Bombyx mori: one gene and its partner. The protein of the gene in region 1 interacts with the protein of each later gene in a pairwise test. Links are inferred from orthologs where the notes say so. Each region holds a gene or a part of one and is shown in the gene's direction. Other genes may lie near its edges.

Region 1 (2,529 bases):
TTTCATTGGATGCTACTTATTAACATATGTTTGCAACTGACTACCACTATCAAAAAGTAATATTATGTGCTCAAAATCAAACCTGCAAAAGTAATAAACTGCACAATTACTAGTGTTAGGACGTCATGTTAGTCCACACAGGTAGGTTAGAATAGTAATATGGCCATTAAATTATGCTATTGATATTTACATTTCATATATCAAGGTGAATGGTGACATGTACTTTCTGATGTGTATTGGCTACAGTAATCACTTAAGAGCAGGTGTGCACTTAGAAATGCTGTGAAGAAGTGTTTGTTCACACATCTTTTGAAAAGAAAAACAACCCTTTTCATGAGCAAAATCATGCTTTCTATTCACACAATAACAATTGACAAGATGATGTGAATGTAGCTAGCCTTTTTTTGTGGGCAAGAATCTCCTAATAAGATCCCTGTACTGATTTTGTTAGTGGAAAGAACTACTTTACATTTTAGACTAAAACTCATTAAAAGATTTTTTTCTAATTATGATTCTATTATCTCTGATTTCAAATCCATGCTCAGATTTCTTTGTTGACAATCAACTCTTAAAAATCTATCTATCTATAGAGGAAAAATGCTATTTATTCCAGATACTGTACAGAAATATTTGACTATTTATCACTGTCAGCCATTATCGATGGAAGGATATTCTGCGTACACGGCGGTCTAAGTCCGTCGATACACACCCTAGATCAGATTCGTACTATTGATCGAAAGCAGGAAGTTCCTCACGACGGACCAATGTGTGACTTGTTGTGGAGTGATCCTGAAGGTAAATATGAAACAATGATTAGCTGTCACTCTTGGATTCGTCCGCGTGATTAAGGAAAAGTGCCAGTATAGTTTCCCCTGGGACAAACATGTTTTTCTGGTTAGAAAGTGGCCTATGTCATACTCCTGACCTTAAAAAATCATGTGAATGCATTGTTTCGTTGGCGACGTAAAAAAAGGCAAACAAACACTTTCACATTTAAAATATTTGTATGGATGTTTGTATCCTGAACTAGAATATAGAATAGAACCAAGAACATTTGTGAAAATCCACCTTACCTAAAGTTACATAATGTGATCAGTGCCTAGTGATGTAATTGGTAAATCATGCAATCAACTTTGATCAAGCAATGCAACCGCATCTGAGTACAATTCCTCTGGCAGGTAACTGCAAAACATTTACTTCGATGGTGAAGGATGAACAGATGACATTCTGTGATAAAAATAAATTAACCCATAAACTCAAAAGAGGAAAACGATCATAAATTTTCATGACAGTATTTTCCTTGTATCTTCGGTTTGTAGTTATTATTATATTCTGGGGATTAATATGGAGGGGAAATAAAATGGTGACATGTAAAGAAAGAATTATTATTATGATCCTTGGGCTAGTTAACTAAAATCTAATTCTAAATATTTTTAATCTTCTTTACCTAAAGAACTGAGATTATGGTTTTATCTATTGCAGATACACAAGGTTGGGGTGTTTCACCAAGAGGAGCTGGCTATCTCTTTGGCTCAGATGTAGTCGCTCAATTCAACGTGTCAAATGATATTGATATGATCTGTCGAGCTCATCAGCTTGTCATGGAGGGCTACAAATGGCATTTCAACGAGACCGTGTTGACTGTATGGTCTGCACCTAATTATTGTTACAGGTATTTATTGTCGACAAAAGACCACAGATTCTTGCCTAAATTCAGTGTATCATATTATTCTCAAGGTTTTGATAACTACATAGTTTTCTTTGGCACTGACAAAATGTCAGTGACAACTCACTCGGTCATCCTTTACCATGAAAATATAACAATCATAAATATTTAGGGACCATGCAAAACATGAAATCGAACTGTAAAAGTAATTTTAATTCAGTAAACTTAATAGACTCATTTTAAAATTAATATCATTATTCAGTACAATTAAAGCGATAAATATTGAATACTGGTGTTAGGGAGTGTGTTAGATCACAGGTCATTTTCACCATTTTGACCATTTTGACCATTTCACTTCCAGGCTTAAGATTAGGACAGCGATAAGAGTTATTATAAGTCAATTGAGATTTTGACCTCATCTTCTCAAGGTGGGTGACGGTACTCTCTTCATAACCTTAAGCTCCGAAAACTGTCACCCCAAATAAAGGAATCTCATAAATTATAGCCTTTAAATTTTCTGGATACAGCATTGTGTGCAGATATTAATGTATTACTGTACTCGAAAATTAAATCTTTTGTTACCTGTATGTGCTCACTAATCACACTGTTTTTCCTTCTCTGATTCAGATGCGGAAACGTAGCTGCTATATTAGAGTTAAACGAAAATCTTCAACGTGAATTCACAATATTCGAGGCAGCACCGCAGGAATCTCGAGGAGTACCATCAAAGAAACCCCTAGCCGAATACTTCTTATAATGTTCCTGTAAGATAGACAATTGAAACGAACAACTTGTATTTCGGTTTAATATAATATATATAGTGACGAAACAATTTTAATGTAGAGATTTGTTTTTGTGATTTC
Region 2 (4,427 bases), on another chromosome or scaffold:
GCTTAAAAAGTGAAAGTTCCAAATATTGTGTATTTGAATTAAGTCGCAGGACACGTGCACTCGTTTTTTTTTAAAAAAATACCAAATTACCAATGAAATATTGGTCATTTGCCAACATTTTACGAAGAGGTTAATTTCACTTTGTTTCAATATATTTTTGCTACAAAGATTTGAGTCCAACATTTCAATCTTCAGACTTATTTGTAAAAGCGATGTTTTCTTTGCCTGACGAATTAAACAAAGCAAATTAATTAACATAATTTACCGGTAAAATGGGGCGATTAGGGATTGAGAGGCGAATCGGGAAAAAACCGGGAAAATCTTTCGACGCTCAATATAAGTTTTATATTCGTTGCAAAATCTTCCATTTTTTGTAGTTTAATAGTAGAATGTTGAAAGTTCACAAAACAACTCTGAACATGCATGATAATAGCTACTAACTTATAAAAAATCGCGTTTCAAATTAACTTCCTGTGGTGGTAATTATTTTAGTGCTAGAAACTTTGCTCTCTTTGATTTATTTGATAATAATAGAAGACGACTATGATTTATAAACGTTATTTAGTGTTTGAACCAGCATATATATTAAAGGTAAGTCTCAGTTGTTATTGGTTTTAATGTATTTGATTAAATAAAAATACATGTAAAAATCTGTTGTTTTTGGGGATATTGGGGACGTCTTAGGTACAAATAACAACGAAAAAGAGGTCAATTGGGATGAGAATACGTGAAATGGAAACGACCTAAGTATAAATAGGTACAGGTTTGTAGGGTTGTCTATGTAGATATAACAATATTTTTTAAATTTGTTGGTAAAAATCTGGTTTATTCGAAGCGAAATTGGGAATAAGTCTTTAGTTGAAATAGATAAGCAATTTAATATAAGTAAGTCGATTTTGCAGAGACATGTAACAAGATCAATGAAATCTCAAGGTGGACAAAAATGTCTAAGTAATACATAATAAAATATTTAATATTTGTTCGGAGTAGGGGTATTCATCTGATTAATCCATGGAATAACCGACACACCTAATCTCTTAACCCAGATAGAAATATCAGCACTGTCGATTGCACCTATAATTGAGGTGATGTCTGCCATGTACTTTTGTCAGTTTTTCAATTTTTTTTATTGATGATCACTTTGTTGGTGCAACTAAATAAATAAATTAATTAAAACTCTATATAAAAATAAAAGTAGTGCCAACCCTAGCAAATTTCTCATTTCGTCCCAATTAACCGCAATTTTCGGGTAAATAGGGATTACACCTATTTTTGCATTTTTTGCTTAAACTGGAACGCTAGTTGCATAATTTTCAATTAGACAACAAAGATGCCCCCAAGACTCAATCATTTTGATCCTGATATAGCATTATATACATCAACAACTACCTTAAAATTGCTCATAAAGTTGGAATTTGTCCCTAATCGCCCCATTTTACGGTACTGTTTCCCACTGTCACGTGTCACTGTTGTCAGACGTCAGTGTCAGTATCAGATTGTGACAATTGTTGATTGTTTTAGTGCCGATTTTATTTGGTAAAGAAAACTAAAATAAACCGGAATGGCTGAAGTTGATACAGAGCAAGATATATTAGAAGATTCCTTGAGCAATATATTCGATCAAGGAATGAAATTGTATACAACTGTAGAAACAGTCAAAGAACCTATGAATAGCGACAGTGTTCAGGTAGGTTAGAGCTGTTTATATTTAACCGACTACATTATATTTATTGTTGTAATGAAATTTTGTGATATATATTATATCACAAATATATTTATAATAAATTCATAATGACTGGATATACTCAAAGATCGTACAATGCTCTCCGTGTTCAATACAATAACGCGTTTAGGGTGCTGGTGGTGCTGCCCCGCTTTTGTAGCGCATCCGGGATGTTTGCAGACGCGCACATAGATTGTTTTTACGCTACCATGCGTAAGAGGTGTGCATCTCTGGTAAACAGAGTGAGGGCCAGCTCCAACAGTATCCTGAGCATGATCGCAAGCAGGCTGGACTGTATATACATGGGTCGCTGTGGTGCCATCTCCCATGGGATGTTACCACAGTAATTCATTGTGATGTAAATATAACTACTAACATAGGTCTAAGTCTTATTAACAATTTATATGAGTCATGGATACTTGAAATAAAAACATTATTATTATTATAATAAATAATATATTCATATTTCAATTACTACTACAATAAAAATAAAATAAAAATATGAATGGAAACTATTAAATGTAAATTTAGAAATGCTTTAAATATTATCACAAATAACAGGTAACCATAAAAACTGCAATATCCAAGTTCGAGAAGGCCACGAAACTAGTGTCACTTTCTGGAATGTTCAGTAAAAATGAAAAGTTGGAAGAGCTGCCTACAGAAACATTAAAGTACATGCTATTACCTGCATTACTTGGCACCCTAACGTTGAAAATTTGCAGACCGTCCAGAAAAGATATTATCGAAGTAGCGGAAATATATTTCAAGTAATCCAATTTATATTCTTTAATACCATAAGCTTAGGTTCATCAATCTGGTACACATTGCTTATTTTCATTATGTCTGATGCTGGAAAACAATCTAGGGCTCTCTACCACCATAACAGAATTAGCTAAATGTTTTTGATTGGCATCTATTACGAATTAGCTTATAGATATTAGGCTTATAGCTGATATAAGCCTACTGAGTTTTTCCCAGTTTATTTTGAGGCTAGGGTTTACATGTTGTGATATTCAATTGAAGATTTAAATGTTATGATCCTGTTTATCTCTGAAATCATGTTTTCAGTTTGAACGGTAGATAGGAGATTTGCCACTAATATTATAGCTTAATTGCAAGTCTCAAGATTTTTAGTGCTTTCATTTCCTAGTGTTGCCAGTAGGTTCCAGTTACTATTTAATTATAGGTCTGCTTTGTTTGCTCATTTATCTAATGCTGGTTAACAAATAATATTAACATCAATGAATGATGCAGCCTTGGAGTAGTGTATTCTTATATTACATATTAACTAATTGGGCAGTAAGATTGCAGTGGCATTTGAGTAAAACAAGCATTTAAAAGATGCAATAAAAGCATGTAAAAGATCAGAATTTTGTCTGCTGATATTATTTTTAGTAAATTACTGTTTCGTTCACAGAGATTTTCTTCAAAGATGCAAAGACTATGGGGTCACAGACGTGGAGATCCCACAATTAAGTGATAGCAACAGTTCCTCATCTAGACCACAGAGCCAGCAAGATATAATAGCTGCAATGGTAATATTATTGTCCTTTATACTTATGAAATGAAAGGTCAGATTTTTAAGCAAGTTAGTTCAAAGTTGGTTATTTAAAAAAATCTGTCATCGGGATCTTGTCAAGACTTCCAATAAATGTAGTAAATAGAATTCAGTATTTTTGGCATATTTTCTTTAGTTGGTGATATCATTAAATTCCAACTTCAACTACATTGTAAATAACTTTGCAATCATTGGACTTATGTGTATGTATTCCAGTTTGTAGATCCATCTATCCACAATCCATCATCACATCCACAATCCATCATCACATCCACAGTTATCTAGTTATCATATTGTTTCAAGTGAAGGCAGGTGTGATTATATAATAAATAAAGTATGTAAAAAATATTCTGATTGTCCTGATAGTAATTATCAAACTGATGAGTACAGCAGTACATACGAGTCATGTGCCAGCAAGTGTTATCTTTAATTACTTTGTAAAGTAAATGTAATTTTTTATTTCAGGTTCAAAGTAGAGAAACTAAAATAAAACGATACAAAGAAGCAAAAGAGTTAAAAGAGAAACTCGGTACATTGTCAAAAGCTATGTCATCACCCATTGTTGATGACGAAGTTAAAAGAGAGTATTTTCTGACGATGTTACATAGCTACGTCAATGAGGTCTTGGATGAACTTAGCAGTATTGAACGGGAGAAACCTATACTGGAAATGATTAGTTGTTCTGGTGAAGGTAAAATTTTTTTTTTTGTGAGAAAAGGCATAATTTACAATTGTACAATATTATATTGTAATATATTAGTAGTACTGATTTGAAGTCGTCGTGGCCTAACGGATAAGACGTCCGGTGCATTCGTGTTGAGCGATGCACCAGTGTTCGAATCTCAGGCGGGTACCATTTTTCTAATGAAATACGTACTCAGCAAATGTTCACGATTGATTTCCACGGTGAAGGAATAGCATCGTGTAATAAAAATGAAACCCGCAAAATTATAATTTGTGTAATTACTGGTGGTAGGACCTCTTGTGAGTCCGCGCGGGTGGGTACCACCACCCTGCCTATTTCTGCTGTGAAGCAGTAATGCGTTTCGGTTTGAAGGGTGGGGCAGCCGTTGTAACTATACGTGAGACCTTAGAACTTATATCACAAGGTAGGTAACGCACTTACGTTGTGGATGTCTATGG

The links.
Region 2: the proteins of serine/threonine-protein phosphatase 4 catalytic subunit (region 1) and immunoglobulin-binding protein 1 interact in binary tests that used the Caenorhabditis elegans proteins (3 or more experiments, as listed by UniProt). The link is inferred for Bombyx mori from reciprocal best matches to the Caenorhabditis elegans genes pph-4.1 and ppfr-4.

What each region holds. Positions count from the first base shown.
Region 1 is NC_085122.1:4,600,688-4,603,216, reverse strand, and holds part of serine/threonine-protein phosphatase 4 catalytic subunit, read left to right. Parts: intron 1-613; coding exon 614-795; intron 796-1,482; coding exon 1,483-1,672; intron 1,673-2,293; coding exon 2,294-2,423; 3' UTR 2,424-2,529. UniProt on the Caenorhabditis elegans protein: Protein phosphatase which plays an essential role in meiosis and in early embryonic mitosis.
Region 2 is NC_085111.1:1,745,016-1,749,442, reverse strand, and holds the start of immunoglobulin-binding protein 1, read left to right. Parts: upstream 1-1,451; 5' UTR 1,452-1,561; coding exon 1,562-1,687; intron 1,688-2,284; coding exon 2,285-2,493; intron 2,494-3,143; coding exon 3,144-3,261; intron 3,262-3,749; coding exon 3,750-3,975; intron 3,976-4,427. UniProt on the Caenorhabditis elegans protein: Probable regulatory subunit of serine/threonine-protein phosphatase PP4 which may play a role in meiosis and embryonic mitosis.